5 linked regions of the Callithrix jacchus genome follow. The protein of the gene in region 1 interacts with the protein of each later gene in a pairwise test. Links are inferred from orthologs where the notes say so. Each region holds a gene or a part of one and is shown in the gene's direction. Other genes may lie near its edges. The genes, in order: THAP7, MTUS2, CCNDBP1, LZTS2 and LURAP1.

Evidence for each region.
Region 2: the proteins of THAP7 (region 1) and MTUS2 interact in binary tests that used the Homo sapiens proteins (3 or more experiments, as listed by UniProt). The two-hybrid records come from large-scale screens. The link is inferred for Callithrix jacchus from reciprocal best matches to the Homo sapiens genes THAP7 and MTUS2.
Region 3: the proteins of THAP7 (region 1) and CCNDBP1 interact in binary tests that used the Homo sapiens proteins (3 or more experiments, as listed by UniProt). The two-hybrid records come from large-scale screens. The link is inferred for Callithrix jacchus from reciprocal best matches to the Homo sapiens genes THAP7 and CCNDBP1.
Region 4: the proteins of THAP7 (region 1) and LZTS2 interact in binary tests that used the Homo sapiens proteins (3 or more experiments, as listed by UniProt). The two-hybrid records come from large-scale screens. The link is inferred for Callithrix jacchus from reciprocal best matches to the Homo sapiens genes THAP7 and LZTS2.
Region 5: the proteins of THAP7 (region 1) and LURAP1 interact in a two-hybrid assay, tested with the Homo sapiens proteins (2 studies listed by BioGRID and IntAct). The two-hybrid records come from large-scale screens. The link is inferred for Callithrix jacchus from reciprocal best matches to the Homo sapiens genes THAP7 and LURAP1.

Annotation. Positions count from the first base shown.
Region 1 is NC_133502.1:193,118,812-193,122,719, forward strand, and holds THAP7 (THAP domain-containing protein 7), read left to right. Parts: upstream 1-1,317; 5' UTR 1,318-1,326; coding exon 1,327-1,410; intron 1,411-1,551; coding exon 1,552-1,874; intron 1,875-2,379; coding exon 2,380-2,520; intron 2,521-2,730; coding exon 2,731-3,283; 3' UTR 3,284-3,395; downstream 3,396-3,908. UniProt on the Homo sapiens protein: Chromatin-associated, histone tail-binding protein that represses transcription via recruitment of HDAC3 and nuclear hormone receptor corepressors.
Region 2 is NC_133506.1:148,703,546-148,707,059, forward strand, and holds part of MTUS2 (microtubule-associated tumor suppressor candidate 2), read left to right. Parts: intron 1-1,230; coding exon 1,231-1,329; intron 1,330-2,365; coding exon 2,366-2,485; intron 2,486-3,514. UniProt on the Homo sapiens protein: Binds microtubules. Together with MAPRE1 may target the microtubule depolymerase KIF2C to the plus-end of microtubules. May regulate the dynamics of microtubules at their growing distal tip.
Region 3 is NC_133509.1:30,928,592-30,932,105, forward strand, and holds part of CCNDBP1 (cyclin-D1-binding protein 1), read left to right. Parts: intron 1-805; coding exon 806-887; intron 888-1,659; coding exon 1,660-1,756; intron 1,757-1,929; coding exon 1,930-2,003; intron 2,004-2,518; coding exon 2,519-2,595; intron 2,596-2,938; coding exon 2,939-3,219; intron 3,220-3,514. UniProt on the Homo sapiens protein: May negatively regulate cell cycle progression. May act at least in part via inhibition of the cyclin-D1/CDK4 complex, thereby preventing phosphorylation of RB1 and blocking E2F-dependent transcription.
Region 4 is NC_133513.1:93,956,884-93,960,397, forward strand, and holds part of LZTS2 (leucine zipper putative tumor suppressor 2), read left to right. Parts: intron 1-2,364; 5' UTR 2,365-2,406; coding exon 2,407-2,814; intron 2,815-3,371; coding exon 3,372-3,514. UniProt on the Homo sapiens protein: Negative regulator of katanin-mediated microtubule severing and release from the centrosome. Required for central spindle formation and the completion of cytokinesis.
Region 5 is NC_133508.1:82,977,112-82,981,069, forward strand, and holds the start of LURAP1 (leucine rich adaptor protein 1), read left to right. Parts: upstream 1-1,152; 5' UTR 1,153-1,246; coding exon 1,247-1,444; intron 1,445-3,958. UniProt on the Homo sapiens protein: Acts as an activator of the canonical NF-kappa-B pathway and drive the production of pro-inflammatory cytokines. Promotes the antigen (Ag)-presenting and priming function of dendritic cells via the canonical NF-kappa-B pathway.

The DNA of each region.
Region 1 (3,908 bases):
TCAGACGGAGTCTCACTCTGTCGCCCAGGCTGGAGTGCAGTGACGTGATCTAGGCTCACTGCAGACTCTGCCTCCCGGGTCCAAGCGATTCTCCTGCCTCAGCCTCCGGAGTGGCTGGAACTACAGGCGCATGCCACCACACCCAATTATTACTATTATTATTATTATTATTGTATTTTTAGCAGAGACGGGGTTTCACCATGTTGGCCAGGATGGTCTCGATTTCCTGACCTCGTGATGCGCCTGCCTCAGCATCCCAAAAGTCTGAGATTAACAAGCGTAAGGCACAGCGCCTGGCCTATTATTTTACATTTAAACCTTCTGAAGTCCTTAAATGGAGTGGCTATTTTCACTGAGTCTTAGGGGAAGAGGTGAGGGCTCAGGTTAGGCAGCCCGCCGGATCATGTGTCCAAGGACTCCGCAGGCTGAGCACTGCAGTTCCTGACGCTACCTTTCCACCCGCATCCTCAGCTTCTTCCCGACTCCGTCACGCCCCCAAAGTGGCTACAATGAAACCTCCTGCCCAGCGCACGTCCCCAGTGTAGTCTGGGGCATTCCTCGCCCTCCCTCAAGTCCCCCGGTACTCGGCAGTGAGTGCAGGCTCTGGTTTCTGTCAGGTTCTCTTGGGCAAGCGTCCCAGGCCCCGTTTTCTTTCTTCAGTCAAGTCTTTCCGAGGCGAGCTGTCGCCCCCGCGGCTTTCGAGGTTCCCAGGGCACCGCCGCCATCCGCTCCCAGGCCGACCCGTACACTGGGGTCGCTCCATCGTGCCGGGGTGTTTACAGAGAAGAGTGAGCCCTGAACGGACGAAAGAGGAGCCCACGTGTGTGACAACACTGGTAGTCTGGGAACGGAGACGACGCAGGCGCGACTAGAACTCGCACGCTCGCACCGCTTCCGAATCCAACTCAATAGGACTTCGCCCCGCCCCGCCCCGCCCTAAGGGCGGAGCACCGCCGACTTTCCAGTCTCTATGGTACCAACTTCCGGCGCGCGCCACCCCTCGCGAGACTTCGGCGGCGCAGCAATGGACAGATCGTGAGTGCTGCTGACGGGAGTCTAGAGAACCGGCTGGGACTGGGTGGGGCGAGAACAAGCCGGGAGCCGGGGTAGACTCCACGGGCCAGAACCCCCCTGGGGAGGAGCGGCGGCTGAAGGCGCGAGGCTCCTCTGGATCCCCAGACAGCCACTCGCGACTTAACTCCCGCCTCTTCCCTAGATGCCGCGTCACTGCTCCGCCGCCGGCTGCTGCACACGGGACACGCGCGAGACGCGCAGCCGCGGCATCTCCTTCCACAGGTCGGCGCGCGTGCGCGGGCTGACGTGCGCATGCGCTGGTTGCTGCGCGCCTCGTTGGGCCGCAACTGTGTAGACGCTTCGCGCCTTTCTCGGGTCCTGAGGAACCTTGAACCTGTGGGTGGGAAGTGAAGCGGGATGGTCCCAGTGGGACCAAGTGCTGTCGGGAAGGGGAGAACGGGAAGTCTAGCCTCGGACCTGCCCCGCTCTGACTCTTACCTGCCAGATGACGCTGAGCAAACTGCTTTTCTTCTCTAGGCCTCCATTGCTTCGTCTGTGCCCGGGCGGGTGGTGCTTACCCGGCGGGGTCGCAGGGAGGTCTCGTGGCGGTGCGTGTTGGGTCTGCTTTTCCCCAGCGGGGAGCTTGGGCAGCATGAGCCCAGGGCTGCGGACAGTCTACTGCTCATGGGTTTGTGGCTCCACAGACTTCCCAAGAAGGACAACCCGAGGCGAGGCTTGTGGCTGGCCAACTGCCAGCGGCTGGACCCCAGCGGCCAGGGCCTGTGGGACCCAGCATCCGAGTACATCTACTTCTGCTCCAAACACTTTGAGGAGAACTGCTTTGAGCTGGTGGGAATCAGGTGGGCCTCCCTGCCAGCCAACATTGGGGTAGGATGTGGAGCTTCAGGCGGATTGGGGCAGCTGCAGGTCCTGGAAGTCCCTTGAGCAGCCTGCCAGGCAGGCCGACCTGCTTCCAAGGGGTCTGTATCCTCTTCCGAGCTCTGTACAATGAAACCCTCCCCCAGGATCACTGCCAGTGACACAAGGGAAAAACATGAGCCTTTCCAGAGAGTGTTCTTCAGAGCCCCAGTCCTGCCAGCGAGTCCACAAATCAAAGAATTCTTTTTGGCAGGTCAGCCCAGCTCTGCTTGTGCAGGCTTTCCACACACCTCGACTTTGAGGAGTACTGCAGGGAAGCGATTGGTGTAGCTCTAACTTGGCATCCCTGAGACTTACTGTTTGCACGATGCTTTCCAGCCTCCCACGGCGCTAGTGCTGGGGAAGCTGTTCCAGGGTGCCGGGGGTACATTGGCTCGGGGAGGCAGCACTTGCTCTCCAGCTCATCTGGGCTGCTTTTCCCCACAGCGGGTATCACAGGCTAAAGGAGGGAGCAGTCCCCACCATATTCGAGTCTTTCTCCAAGTTGCGCCGGACATCCAAGACCAAGGGGCACAGTTACCCATCTGGTCCCACTGAAGTCACCCGGCTCAGGCGATGCAGGAAGCGGTATGTGGTACTGGTGGGGAAAGCCCCACTCCCACCCCTAGGCCAAGGGACTGGGCTCTGGGTCATCTGCCAGCAGTCTAGCCGGACAGGGTTCTTGCTGCACAGAACCTGTGGATCAGGTTTGGGTGTTGGGGGGTTAGGTGGGCTGGTGGAGTGGGGTCTGGCAGGCCCTCAGCCTAGCCCATCAGCCTCTCTCTTCCCCCTTACCAGCTGCTCCGAGGGCCGAGGGCCCACAACTCCATTTTCTCCACCTCCACCTGCTGATGTCACCTGCTTTCCTGTGGAAGAGGCCTCAGCACCTGCCACTTTGCCAGCCTCCCCAGCTGGGAGGCTGGAGCCTGGCCTTAGCAGCCCCTTTTCAGACCTTCTGGGCCCCCTGGGTGCCCAGGCAGATGAAGCAGGCTGCAGTGCCCAGCCTTCACCAGAGCCACAGCCCTCCCCTCTCGAGCCACGGCCAGTCTCCCCCTCAGCCTACATGCTGCGCCTGCCGCCACCCGCCGGAGCCTACATCCAGAATGAACACAGCTACCAGGTGGGCAGCGCCTTGCTCTGGAAGCGGCGAGCTGAGGCAGCTCTTGATGCCCTCGACAAGGCCCAGCGCCAGCTGCAGGCCTGCAAGCGACGGGAGCAGCGGCTGCGGCTGAGACTGACCAAGCTGCAGCAGGAGCGGGCACGGGAGAAGCGGGCACAGGCAGATGCCCGCCAGACTCTGAAGGAGCATGTACAGGACTTTGCCATGCAGCTGAGCAACAGCATAGCCTGAGGGAGGGGCCACTGGACTGACCGAGGGGCTGCCTAGCAAGGGTGCAGCCTCCTTCTCCCTCAGAATCCACCATAACCACCAGGTGCCATAATAAAGTGGATTCTAGAAGGAGGCCCTGCTGTCTGGCTCAGCTGGGGGCTGGAGCCCCTCTGGGTACTAAGCTTGCTGCCCCCAGACAGTGGCTGCAGCTCCCAGAGGGCTCACTCTCAGCTCTGCTCTCAGAAGAGCTCAGTCCAAGCTCTTCGCCAGGGAGAGCAGAAAGCCTGGCTTTCACCCCTCAGAGCTTCTGGTAGACCGGTAGCAGCCAGCCATTGCAGCTCCATGCCCCACAGTTTTCTGAAGGGGCAGGATGTTGTGAGTAGGGGGCAGGATGTTGTGAGTAGGGGCCAGGAAAGCAGTTCAAGGCACCCCTTCCACAGGATCTGAAACAGCCCCAATTTAAGTCAGCCAGCCCCTTTGAGAACACTCCTAAAACCCAGTCTGGATTCAGTTCTCAAACAGGTGCATGACAGGCTTGTCCACAGACTTCATCTGCCTGGTGGGTAAACAGGGCAACCCCCTCGCTGCTCCCTTCACTGCTGTCTCTATTTGAAAAACGGGGCCGGGCGCGGTGGCTCACGCCTAT
Region 2 (3,514 bases), on another chromosome or scaffold:
GAATTCACGGGACACCCTAGTTTCCGTGTTTTGATGTTACAGAAATGGTGCTGTAACAGAGCTTTGGACTGGTCTGCATGAGTGAGACACGAAGGGTGAAGCGCTTCTTGGGCATCAGTGGTCCTTTGCCAGCCTGTGGTGTGGGGAGTCATGGGCAGGCTGAGTGGGACAGAGTCAGCGCAGGTGCATCTGCCCTGGGAGCTGGGGAAGGGGCATGGTGTCCCCATAGACACTCCTGCTTTCCTTCAACCTGCAGGTGGAGAGCCGCCAGCTGCCCCCCTAGCTGACGGGCATGGGAAGGCAGAGGGCTGGGAGTGCCAGTCTGGCCAGGGAGCGGGTCTCAGCAGGGAGGAGGAGACTGTGTGGACTCAGCTTCCATGTGAGCTCCTATCAGGGACATGAAACCCAGCTGTCAGGCCAGGAAGGCTGCGTGGGAGCCAGAATGAAGCAGGAGTGAGAGGCAGCTGGCTGGAGGAGGGCACTGCCAGCAGGAGAGCTGGCGTGAGAGGAGAGGGAGGCAGCGAGGCGGGAGGGTGCTGCGTTAGGGAGTGTACACGGCACCTTGAGGGCAGTGGGGTAGGAGGTCGGGGAAGGACAGGTTCCGCTTTGCACATTAGAAAGAGGGCTTGACTGCAGCGTGAGGGTAAAGGAGTGATACTTCAGGAGAAAGAAGAATCGTGTCAGGATGGAGCCAGCCGAGTGGCTGAGCTCAGGGGAGTCTGTGGCTTCTAGGGACATTCAGGAGGCAGGATAGCAGGGCTCGGTGGCCAGAAGGTTTGGTGATGTGAGAGGGATCCCAAGGCAGAGAAAGAAGTGAAGGAGGGTTGGAAGGGTTCTGGATTGAGCTTCATAAATGAGAATGATTCTTTGAAGTACCTTCACTGTGGTCCTTCCCAAAGCCAGGGCTGGGTGCCTCCTGGCCCAGACGCCTCTCCCTGAGGATTGTCTGCTTCTATAGGATCAGATGTTGTGAGATGCCCCCCGGTTCACAGTGTTTTTGTGGTTTCTTCCTGACAAAGAGCCAAGAAGGGCAAGCCACGGGTAGGCGTTGGGGGAAACCATGCCCATCATGTGATTTTGGGGGTCCCCTTGGGCACCTCTTTCTTCAGTCCCAAGGGAGACACTCTAAGGATGCTGAAGAAAGTGGTGGCCTGCTGATTGAAGCTGCCCCAGCTGTGGCAGCGGCAGGCTGTAGCGCCCCCAGCTGGACTCCTCATGTCATTACTCCAGGACCAGGTGGACACGCTGACCTTCCAGAGCCAGTCTCTGCGGGACAGAGCACGCCGCTTCGAAGAGGCCTTGAGGAAGAGCACGGAGGAGCAGCTGGAGGTAGTTTCGGGATTCCAGGCTTCCAGCCCCAGGCCACGGGACTCCCTCAGCAGTCTTGTCCCAAGACAAGGCCTCTCTGTGAATCCCTTGCTGAAGTGACAGCTGGTCACGACCTCCCCTGGATTTGTAAACAATTTCTGTCAGCACATCTCCCCAGAGTCAGACAGCAGCTGTGGATTTCTCCAGCTACGTGTTATTTTTGCCAAATTCCACAGCATTGCCCAGCCGAGGTTCCGGGGCCCCTGTGATCAGCATGGTCCGGCAACCCCCGACCCTTGCCCGACCACCCCTTCCATCTCATTCTCCCCCAGCTTTTTAGGCTGACACGGGCAGCCTTGGCTACAGCAGGAGTTAATAGGTTGAGGGGAATTTTTTTCAGGAAATCTGGCAAAACTCCTTCTCTCTAACGTAGGGTTGCCAAATAAGATACAAGACACGCAGTTAAATTTGAATTACAGGTAAATAAATTTTTGAGTCTAAGTATGTCCCAAGCAATACTTGTGCTCACTTTTTTAAAACGTGCTTTATCTGAAATTTGAATTTAACAGGACATACCATGTTTTAATTTGCTATATCCAGCAGCACTACTGTAATGTGTCTTTTTCCAAAATGGCTTTTCTGCTTCTTAAGCCACTCTGCTCATTTCCTGTGCATGGGCTCTTTATGGGTATAGGTGGGACCCAGAAGAGCCCCAGCTACCAGTCATCCAGGTGAATGTTAAAGGCTAGTGTTGGGTTTACTCTTTCGACCCATGAGTTCCCTGCTGGGCATGGGCTGGCAGCATCCAGCATTTCCGGAATCAAACTTCCCAGTGGACGATGGCTGTGTGTCACCTGCTCCCGCACAGAATGGGTTCCCAGGGGGAAGCAGCAGGACCCCTTCATCAGGGAAGACTGCGAGCATCCTCTGTCTTTGCTGTGCAATTGCTATTGGGGCGTTGGTCCAGAGGCTGGATTTAGCTGGATTAGTGATATTGGTTAATACTGGGTTTTGCCGGGAGCCCCGGTCAACATTTTATGGCTCTCTGCCCCTGTAGATTGCACTGGCTCCTTATCAGCACTTGGAAGAAGACATGAAGAGTCTGAAGCAGGTATTAGAGATGAAGAATCAGCAAATACACGAGCAGGAAAAGAAGATTCTTGAGCTGGAAAAGCTGGTGAGTTGGTCTGTTTGCATGGGAGTGACTAACCTCCATGACGCTCCTCCTGTCGTTCCTGATGTCATTGCTGATGGTGTTCGGCCAGGTGTGTCCCTTACCTGCCCATTGCTTATACCTAAGCAGAAAATCCCATGGCTGGCCTTTCCTGGGAAGCCAGGAGCTCTGATAAGAAATCTTAGAGGTGGCCTCACCTTGTCCAACTCTGAAACCTTCCTGACAGGCGGCCTCTTTCTGCTTCACCCTGGTTTTCTGGCAATTGCACTGTCTCTACACCCTGTCTTGGGGACATGTGGTGACCCAGCAGGATACAGCATCTCCAGTGCCCAGGCACTGCACAGAGCACTTTCCCTGAGTGAGCCTGCTCCTAACTCCGACAGCTGCCTGTGGAGCAGCTGCTGCCATGAGCCGCTTTACAGATGCCGGAGATGGTGCTAAGGAGCCCCTGCCCAGTGCTTCGAGTCCCCACAAGGCAGAAGGGGCCAGGGATCTTCCTGGGGCCCTTTTTATAAGGGTATTAATCCCATTCACAGGGGCTCACCTTCTGGATCTGATCCCCTCCCCAAAGCTCCGCCTCCTTGGGGGTTAGGTTTCAGCACAGGAATTTTGGGGGACACAAACATTCAGCCCAGAACAGCGTCCCTGCTCTCACTGACACTCACCCAGCTCAGCCCACCAGCCTGGCTCCTGCAGAGCTGGCAAAAGTCACCCCCTAGGGGACACAGAACACGCAGGATTTCACCCCCTACGCTGGGGCACAAGCATCCACCCCACCCCCCCATCACCCCCACCCTCCCTGGCCAGGGCTAGAGTCCCAGAAAGGTGTGCAAAGGGAGTGGCAGGGAAGCCTCCTTCCAAGGGCAGCCCATCTTGATCTGGAAGTTGGCCCCAGGATCTCAGATTCTTATTTTTTCCCTTTATTATTATTACTTTAAAAATACACTTTTGATACTACCAAAAATAATATATGTACTTTGGGAAACTATGAAATAAGATAAACCGAAGAAAAGCAGATTATAACATCATATT
Region 3 (3,514 bases), on another chromosome or scaffold:
TAATATAGAGGCTGGTCCATCAGTTGTTCTGTCTCTCTCTCTCTCTTTTCTGTAAAGGACCAGTTAGTAAATACTTTAGACTTTGTAACCAGCTACCCAACTCTGCCCTTGTAGAGCAAACACAACTACAGACATTTAAACTAATGAGCATGGCTGTGTCCCAATACACTTTATTTACAAAAACAGGCAGTGGGGCCTGAGTTGGCCTGTGGACCACAGTTTGCCAACTGCTGGTCTAAGATATCATGAATATCTTTGGACACAGAGTATCAGGAATAAGTTTTTCCTGCTGTTTCGTAATGGTTTATCGAGTTGTCAGCCCAGTGTATACTATATAGCTAACTCCTCTTTGGTATGTGATCAGTATAGCAGAAGGCCTAACTTCATACCAGGACTTCAGAAAATGTTTGATAATGCTGTAGAAATATCTATTCTAGTCTGGACATGTTGGCTTATGCCTGTAATCCCAATACTTTGAGAGGCCAAGGCAGGTGGATCCCCCAATGTCAGGAGTTCAAGACCAGCATGGCCAACATGGCAAGACCCTATCTCTACTAAAAATACAAAAATTAGCCAGGTGTGGTGGCAGGTGCCTGTAATCCCAGCTACTTGGGAGGCTGAGGCAGGAGAATTGCTTGAACCTGGGAGGTGGAGGTTGCAGTGAGCCAAGGCTGTGCCATTGCACTCCAGCCTGGTTGACAGAGCAAGACTCTGTCTCAAAAAAAAAAAAAAAGAAGAAGAAGAAAAATATTTGCTCTATTCCACAGTAGAAGGATTATGATCTAATCTGTTTCCTTTTTCATAGGAAACCCAGAAGTTCTGTGAACAAGTCCATGCTGCCATCAAGGCATTTATTGCAGTATATTATTTATTTCCAAAGGATCAGGGTAAGCCATATAAGTGTTGCATTTATAGTGTAGATCTTTGCTGATATTGTGGATTATGTCTTGTGATTTTTACCTTTACTCAACTTGAACATGTAACTTTCTCCCATAAAATACAAAGATAATTTTATAATGTAAATAACTTCTATAAACAAGCCATTATTCTAAGATACAGATGCTTTGTTCTATTACTTCCCATCTCCCCTGCCTTGAATGACTCTTACGGCTTTTAATTCTCACAGGCTCCTCCCTCTCAAACCCATTTTTAACACCACAGATACTGGCTGGCTCTCAGCCCCATATGAAGGCTCAGGTCATCCTTACTCTCCTCCACCCATGTTATATCTCACCCTATTTTGGAACATCTTCATAGGTTAAATGGCCTCCAGCCCTGCCTGTAGAATCATGCGTTGATTATAATCATGCCAAAATTATAACTGAATACATGTCATGGATCTTCAGGGTTACTACTCAAGTGGTTTAAACTTCAAGTGTTTCATCTACAGTTGTTAAGAGGTCATGGTCTTTAATGAATGAATACATGGTGTCATGGAAAGATTTTGTTCCAAATCTCTTTTGAAGAAAACACTAAGAAATGGCAGGAGGGGCAAGAAAATGTCATGGGGATGTAAGTAAGACCTGAGTTTTGTGTTAGCATGTAGGTTAAAGCATGTGGATGTACATTATCTTATATTCTGTAATACTTAGACTTGGGAAAGCAGATGCTGCTTCTGAAAAGAACACCAGACTGCTTATTCTTTGGGTTTGGCCACAGGAATCACTCTGAGAAAGCTGATCCGGGGCGCCACCCTGGACATCGTGGATGGCATGGCTCAGCTCATGGAAGTACTTTCCATCACTCCAACTCAGAGGTAGTGATGCCACAGTTTAGGTTATCATTTATTGGGGTTCATTGCCTGAGAGGGGAAAAGCTCATTTTAACAGCAAAGTTATTGACAGCTGAGAGTAATGACCAGCAGGAAGGAGCTTTTTACGAGACAGGAACCTAGGTTATTGATATATCCATACTGATTTCTTTCCCCAGCCCTGAGAACAATGACCTTATTTCCTACAACAGTGTCTGGGTTGCATGCCAGCAGATGCCTAAGATACCAAGAGGTGAGTGAAAATGGGAAGTGGGCCATGTCTGCTGGCCAAAGCAGAGAGACCTCTTCCTGCTTTATAACATGTATATTTGAATTTATATAAACAGTCTAGTGAAATATATATATTATATTACCAAAAGTGATAGGTATTAATACTTCTGTCATTCTTTAGGTTGAACAAATACAGTTTGTTTTCGTAGTCCTACCCCAAGAGTAGTATTACGGAACACACTGAAGCAGTTCTGAGGTAGAGCCAGCTAGGCCAAAACAGTGGTTGTCCAAGAGGACCATGATGTTAAACATCATGTGACCATATCATTTCTTCTTGTGGTAAATAAAATACAAGCTTTTTAAACTCCTGTTTAGATACCAGGGGATGTAGTGAGAAGAATTTTAGATTAAACCACCACCCTTGTCAACCATCCTTGGCACCGCCTTCATTAGGAACAGTGTGGTTGTCCTTTGCAGTTTTAAGAAAATTGTTGGGTTTCTCATCTAATTGTAGTGCCTCTGATCTTTCACTCATAGATAACAAAGCTGCAGCTCTTTTGATGCTGACCAAGAATGTGGACTTTGTGAAGGATGCATATGAAGAAATGGAGCGGGTCAGGGGAACTTCATCGTTGGAAGGCAACTCTTTGACTAGTAGATGATAGTTGATTATAAAGAGAGATTCCCTAAGCATTGACCAGATAGATCTTATTCTCACTACTGTCCTCTGTCTTCCATCTGTCCCTCCTTGTTAGTGTGTGATTTAGTACCACTCCTCTCTGTTCCCTTACTGGACAAGGAGAGCGAAAACAGGGTTTGTGAAGTAATTCAACTCTGTAGCCATTAGTGAAGTGGCTGGCTAAGGTTTTTGGACAACTAAGGCATGGTGCTAAAAGTATAATAGGCCCCTTTTTTATTCTTTTTCTTTTTTTGCATGTACATCATGGTATGTCTTAGGCTGTGGAAGAATGCGACCCTTACTCTGGCCTCTTGAATGATACTGAGGAGAACAACTCCGACAACCACAATGATGAGGATGATGTGTTGGGGTTTCCAAGCAATCAGGACTTGTATTGGTCAGAGGATGATCAAGAACTCATAATCCCATGCCTTGCACTGGTGAGAGCATCCAAAGCCTGCCTGAAGAAAATCCGGATCTTAGTGGCAGAGAATGGGAAGAAGGATCAGGTTGCACAGCTGGATGACATTGTGGATATTTCTGATGAAATCAGCCCTAGGTGAGTGTGAGCCCCACTTGAAACATCTGAGCAGCAGCATTCTGATCTCATTTTGTGCTGTCACCCCAAGGATTCTTCCCAGTTTATTTATATTTTGAAAGTTTTCAAACATATAGGAAAGTTTAAAAAGTACTTCAGTGAACACCCCTACATCCTTCTATTAGATTTGCCTGTTGTTCACATTTTTTCCTATATTGGTTTATTTCTCAAAAGATAGATGTTTCATGTTTATTCCAGAATGTTTTGAGAGTAAATTGCAGAAAGCAATGACATTCACTCATAAATACTTAGGTAT
Region 4 (3,514 bases), on another chromosome or scaffold:
GCGGAGCGGGAACTCGTGATCGCAGACTTGACCCCGCTTGACTGGTTCTTGGAGTTTGGGTGGGAGGGAGACTTTGCCCAACTCTTCAGACCCCTCGCCGGCCCTGGACGAGCTCCAGCCCTCCGCTCCCCACAGCCCGCTAAAAGGGGGATGCTCCTGGGTCAGAGTGATTGCTTAGGGAGTGCTGAGGAGAATGAGGGGTTCCCATCTCCCACAGCCACAAACGCATTTCTCAAAATGGAGCCGCCACTTGCCCCTCCTTCTCTCTCGGGCTCCAAGAGCGGGAGCCGGGCCGGCTGGGCCTGGCTTTCCAGACTCCTGGCTCTGGCTCCCTGGGTGTGTGGCTCTCAGGGCCCAGCTCTGTGGCACTTTGGACTTAGGGGCCCTCGGCTCCATGGGGTTGGGGGGCCCTGGCTCACTGGGTCTGCCTGGCTTTCTCCTTGTCAGCCTGACCCTCGGGCCTCTCCGAGTCTTTGTCTCTTTTGGGTTCCTGTCTTTCTCTGAGTCTGTCTCCTTCCTTCAGTTTTCACTTTCTCCCTGCTCGATGAAGTGGGGAAATACAGCAGAGGTGCCAGCCCCCTGGGCCCCCTAAGTCCCTTCCCCACTGTTCTTTCCATACCCTGGAGTGGACCCAGAGACGGGAGGGGAGGGGAAGGGGTTCTCTATCTGCTCTGCTCGGGGCTGAGACCGGTGGGGTGGTCTGAGCTGCAGCCCTGCATAGAGGCCTGTGATTGCTCCCTGGGCCTGGCTCACCCCTCCCCCAGCTCCCCACAGCTCTGGCCCCAGCCTGAACACCTCTTCCTGGTTCGCAGTGTCTTTTGACTTGGGTGGGAAGGAGGGCAGTGGATTTAATGGAGCGCATACGAGAAAGAAGGGGAACAGATCAGGCAAAGGAGTTAATGTCCCACCTCTCCCCACATGCCAGAGGGGGAAGGAAAGAGGCTCCCTTCACCAGCTGGTCCTCAAGCCACCCAGGCTCCCACCACTCTGGTACCTACCTGCCCACATTTACAGGCTCACCTGCACACCCTGGTGCACTCACCTTTCTAGTCACACACTCAAACACTTAGGAGCTCACACATAAACTCATATGCTGACGCATCTGTCCAGGCACCGTCTCATCCACACACCACAAATTCACATTTATAACTTTCACAGGCTTTCTAAGAATGACCCCTTACCCATGTACTTTTGTAAGATATACACATGTGAATTCACACGGGAACTCGTGTGTGAATGTGCTGATAACATCAAACATGCATAGACTCACATTCATATTTTCACACACATTTTCGTATATACACATGGTGTTCATTTCCATGCTCCTGTGCATGTAGTCACACAACAAATAACTAAATGCACACACTCCTACTCCCAGTGCAATTCTCTGTCCACTTCTTGGCCCCGCTCTGCATGATGACTTCAGCAGATGCCTAAGTCCTGGTCATCAGTGGCCTCAGGACTGGGAGTAGGGAGGGGGTTCCGGGTGGAGGCTCACATCTGCTTCCTGGAAGGAGCAGGGCCTGGGGAGGTGGAGCCCTCTTGCCTGGGCTCCCTGGAAGTGAGGCTTTGGAGCAGCCGACAAAGGTGAAGGCGGGGCATCTACCTTCCTCCCCTCAGGGTTTCTCTGGGGACCTTCTAAAGCCGTAGGGTTTCACAGAGGTTGGTAGTGGGGCAGAGCCTGTGGAGGCTCCTTTAGGCCTGATTGGATGTGCAGAGGCTAGGAGTTGTCATGGAAACTGGTATGAGCCTGCATCCACCTCTGGGAGGCAGGAGACCCTGAAGGACACCTGTGGACTCCCTAAGAGCCATGGGTTTCTTATTTAGCCAGATCCACAGAGAGGCAGTTTAGCCGCCTCTCTGGGAGAAACTGAGGCCCAGCAGGGGGAGGCAGGGCACTGCCTGGCCTTGGCTCTTTATTCCCTAATTACCATCTCAGGTGCTGATTGCAACCTTGAGGTGCCTCTGCCCAGACTACCCTGTAATGAGGCCACCTGGCTCAGAGGGCCAGAGACCTGTGCTGGGAGCTGCTAGAGAGGGCCCCTCCCTCACCTGAGTCCTGGCCTCTGGGGAGGATGCAGGATTGGGCTTGGGCCTGGGTCTTTGCTGCCAAGTGGCCTTGTGGTCATTACCTCAGCATCTCTGCTGAGTGAACTCAATCCTTAGCCCTGTTTAGACCTACATTGGGCACTGTGGTCTGGGGCCCAGGGGGAATTGAGGTTCATGCCAGCACTTGAAGGGGGAGTCTCGGTGGGGATCAGGGCTTGTTACTGATGTCAAGGAGGCATCAGTTACTTGGGCTTGTTACTGGGTCAGGAGGGGTCTCAAGGTAGAGGGACTCTGACACCACTGCCCTGCTTACAGGTCACCTGCGAGGCCGCTGGCCAGGCCTGAGCCTCTGCCACCATGGCCATCGTGCAGACTCTGCCAGTGCCACTGGAACCTGCTCCTGAAGCTGCCACTGCCCCACAAGCACCAGCCATGGGCAGTGTGAGCAGCCTAATCTCAGGCCGGCCCTGCCCTGGGGGACCAGCTCCTCCCCGCCACCATGGCCCTCCTGGGCCCACCTTCTTCCGCCAGCAGGATGGCCTGCTTCGGGGTGGCTATGAGGCACAGGAGCCGCTATGCCCAGCTGTGCCCCCCAGGAAGGCTGTCCCTGTCACCAGCTTCACCTATGTCAACGAGGACTTCCGGACAGAGTCACCCCCCAGCCCAAGCAGTGATGTGGAGGATCCCCGGGAGCAGCGGGCACGCAATGCCCACCTCCGTGGCCCACCACCAAAGCTCATCCCTGTCTCTGGAAAGCTGGAAAAGGTGAGGACTGGCTTTTCCTTGTGTGCCTGGGTAACATCGGGAGCTCCCCTTGGGAAACTGGAATTTAGAAGCCTATATCGAGGAAAGAGTGTGGGCTCCAGAGTCACCAGACTGGGTCCTAGTCCCAGCTGTCTCTCATTCTGGCTGTGTGACCTCAGGGAAGTCACTTAACCTGAGCCTCAGTTTCTATAACTGAAATGAAGGTCAAATAACGTATAGTATAGTGCCTGGCATGTAGCATGTGTGCAGTACGTGCTAGTTGCTTACATTCTGGTTATTCTGCACCAGCTATACATTTGACTTTGGGCAAGGCCTTTCACCTTGCTGAACCTCCATTTCCTCATCTGTGATATGGGGATAGTGATAATATTTAGATAATGGGGATGAACCTTTCAATTGCTTGACACAAAGCTGACACTCAGGAGGCTTTCCGCCCATGGCTGCAATTGTTATGACTATATGGCATTAGGGACCCTAGATGGGAGGGCAGGGAGTGTCATAAGGGCTCTGCAAGATTGGGCAGCTTATCCCCAGTGTCACATGGCACCTCATTTCAGAACATGGAGAAGATCCTGATCCGCCCAACAGCCTTCAAGCCAGTGCTGCCCAGACCTCGAGGGGCTCCGTCCCTGCCTAGCTTCATGGGTCCTCGGGCCACCGGGCTGTCTGGGAGCCAGGGCAGCCTGACGCAGCTGTTTGG
Region 5 (3,958 bases), on another chromosome or scaffold:
TTGGGAGTGGGCCTAGAGGTATGAAAGGGTAGATAGAGCAGGAGTAACTATCTTCTCATTGTAAATCCTTCTGCAACCATGGACTGGAATTTCTTGAATTAAAAGACCAAACAAACCAAAGTTTTCATGGCTGTTCACTGCCTGTTAAATAAAATCCAAACATCTCAGAACCATCTTCTGTAACCTTGTTACTCAAAGTGTGGTCCCTTATTACTTGAAGTGTGGACCAGCAGCATGGCCATCACCTGAGAGCTTATTAGAAATGCAGGATCTTAGCCAGGTGCAGTGGCTTACATCTGTAATCCCAGCATTTTGGGAGTCTGAGGCAGGTGGATCATTTGAGGCCAGGAGTTCAAGACCAGCCTGGCCAACATGGTGAAACCCTGTCTCTACTAAAAATACAAAAAAATTAGTCAGGTGCGGTTGCATGCCTGTAATGCCAGCTACCTGGGAGGCAGAGGCAGGAGAATCGCTTGAATTCAGGGAGGCAGAAGTTGCAGTGAGCCGAGATCACGCCACTGTACTCCAGCCTGAGTGACGGAGCCAGACTCCTCTCAGAAAAAAAAGAAAAGAAAAAAATGCAGGCTCTCAGCCACCACCCCAAATTTACAAAATCAGAATCTTTATTTTAACAAGATCCGCAGATAATTCATATGCAGTCAAGCTTAAGGAGCATCTTGCTTATAAGCCCAATGTGGACCTCTTCAGCTTCGATAGTGGTTGCCCCTTTCTACTCCGTTAGTCTGAATTCTAGCCCCTGCGGTGTGTGTGTGTCTAGCTAAAATCCAGCTGCCGTTTTAGAGCTAGTTCCTCTGCTCCAGGAAGACTTCCAAGCCCTCTGCAGCTCTCTGTTACCACTGTTCCTTAAACTCCCACATCTCTGACTGACTGAAGCTGCTTAGGCTTCATTCTGCAAACATGTATTGGGCGCCTGCTGTGTGCCTGGCTGGATTCAGTGCCAGGATGGGGTGAAGGCGCTGAGGTCTCCGAGTGCTCTTTCAGGTTCAAATCCAGAATCGCCCAGCCCCACGCAATCCGGGGCCAGAGGTTGTGCGCAGCACTCGAATATATATCTACAGGCGGTGCTGCGCGGCTTTTCTGAGTGTTACGGCGCCCTCCTCCCACCCCCGCACCGTGCGGGCGGGGACCCACGGTTTCTGCTCCGCATTAGCTTCGGCGAAGGGAGGACCACCGGGAGCTGGTCCCGGGCGTCAGGTCGTCCGGCCCTTTTCAGGCTTGGGCCCGCATGGAGGGTACCGTGGAGTTCCAGACGCCTGATCTGCGGGATGTGGAGGGTAAGGTGGGCAGGAAGACCCCTGAAGGGCTGCTCCGCGGGCTGCGAGGCGAGTGTGAGCCGGGAACCTCTGGCGCCCTGCTGCTCCCAGGGGCGCCTAGCACCGGCCACGGCTTGGGGGACAAGATCATGGCGCTGAAGATGGAGTTGGTGAGTGCAGACTCCATGGACCAAGGGGACGAGTCCCCAGTGTAGGGCCGGGAGGGACAAACTCACGCTCCCAAGTTAGGCTGGAGAGGAGGTAGTTAAAACTCTCCATCTAACTGCTCAGAATCCCTCCCAGATCAATCAGTAAGCGCTGGGGTGGAGGTGGAGTGACGTCCATTAATTGTCCCCCAAGAGTGAGTGGGGTGTTGATGGGTCCTGAGGACTTGGGGTGGGAGACAATGGTTCTTGGAAGTTATTCCTGCCAAATAATTGGGAGGAGAGAGATGAGGACGGAAATACCGAGAACCCAACGCAGCACAAATTCCCCCCGCCCGTCTGGGCCACCTTTTCCCCGCCAGTCCCCGTTGTAAGGCAACCAGTTTTTTCTCCTGCTAACCGGGAAAGGGTTTAGTTTCTGTGAGACCGCAGTGTTCAGCACAGGGTTAAGGGGTATATCTGCTGAAAACTACCTGGACTAGGAGCATTGAAAACCTCCTCCGTTTCCCCTGCATCTCCCAGCCCTACTTAAAATAATGGAAAGTTCTTAAACCTATAGCAGGGACAGAGAGTAGCAGCACCATTGGTGCCGATTCCCTCACCTCAGACTCAGTCTCCTCCCAGCCAATCTCCCAGGTAAACTGGATATTTGGATCTCATCTGTACATTCTTAGGGAGAAGAGGAAACAACAACCCTCCACTCTCTCTGTTTCTGCTGGTCTAGATTCAAAGCCAAAAGGGCAGCTGGGGCCCTGGCAGGCTCCCCAGAGCCCTGATTCCCATGAAGTAGGTGATTTATACCTGCCACTACTTTGCATCCAGCTCTGGGGAACTGAGGAATTGCCATTGGCTCCCTGGCTCACAGCCAGGAGCCCACGGTGAAGTTCCTCAGCTAATAAGTCTTACTGGAGCCCCCACTGTGTGCCCAGCCTGTGCCAAGCTGGTCTGTGAAGCATCAGGAGAAGGAAGTCATGGAGGTTCTGAGACCAGCAAGGGCTCTGATGCCTGAGCTGAGAGGCTGGGAGGAGAGTCTGGTGGGTGGAGCAGTCAGGGAAGGCCCCCTGGGAGAAGGACATGAATGCCAAGTGTGCACTTGGCCTTGAAGGTTGGAGGTGAGTGCCAAATTCTCCAGAGCAAGGCTGTGACTGTACTCACCTAAGCGGGGAGAGTGGGCTTGGCTTTGCCTCATTGTACAAACTTTAGCTCAAGGCCCTATCTAGACTGTCTAGTTGTTTTGAAAACTAACTTTCACCCAGCACATGTGCCAGGCAGATTGCTGAGCACTTTACATGATACTCTCTTCATCTCCACAGTAACCCTGTTAAGTAAGTGATATTTTATAGATGAAGAAACTGAGGCACGGGGTGGGCATGGTGGCTCACGCCTGTAATCCCAGCATATTGGGAGACTGAGGCAGGCAGATTGCTTGAGCCTAGGAGTTTGAGACCAGCCTGGGCAACAAAGTGAGGCCCTGTATCTATAAAAAATACAAAAATTAGATGGGCATTGTGGTGCATGCCTATAGTCCCAGCTACTCTGGAGGCAGAGGCAGGAGGATTGCTTGAGCCCAGAAGGAGGAGGAGGTTGCAGTGAGTTGAAGTCGCACCACTGCATTCTGGCCTGGGTGACAGAGCTCAGAGCTAGATCCTGTCTCAAAAAAAGAAAAGGAAGGAGGGAAGGAAGAGAGGACGGAAGGGAAGAAAAAAGAAGAGAAAAGAAAAAGTAGAGGGACAGCGAATTTAAATGACTACCCACAATCATGTAAAAAGCAGGGCCAGGATTTGAACCCAGATCTGCAGACTGCACTTTACATCTTTATCTTTGAGACCTACTTTGTGCCAGATATTCTAAAGACATTTTATGTCATGGAAATGAGAAAACTGGCCATCATTTCTCCCATCTTGCAGATGAAACATTCTTGCAGATTTTGGGGGTTTGTTTGAACTCACATAGGGAGTCACTGGAAGAGCCACGCCTAGTCTCTCTGGCTCTAACTCTTTTCTGCCTTGGTGGAAACTATCTGTAAACTTTAAGGGGCTGCATTTAACTTCTGATTTTGTCTCTGTATTCTTGACCCAGCTTGCCTGGGGCCTGAGGCTGCCCGAGGAAGGATACAAGGCAGGGAGCCTTCTGGGGCCAGAACAAGGAGAGATCCCCACCCTATTTCTTCTCCCTCCTCAGGCCAGGATGTTATTAATATTAATCTCCTTCTGTGCTCTGCCCTGCCTACTGGGTTGCACCCAGGAAGGACAAGGGGTGGGGCAGAGGATTTTCTTTGGAGCCACTGAAGGCAGGCCTGGTTCAAGTCCTCTAAGGCTGTCCTTCAATTGTTCCTCTCCCAGCTCTCCTTGCACAGAGGCGAGGCTGAAGGCCTACCCTTGAGGCCAAGGTCAGTCCTGCCACTAGGCCTGTTCTCTCCTGCTTTCTTCCTCTACCCCCCATTCAGAGGTTAAGTGAACAAGCCAGACTGGGATATGTGGGAATGGGAAACAGTAGCAACTTTTCTTAGTTCTCCCACCC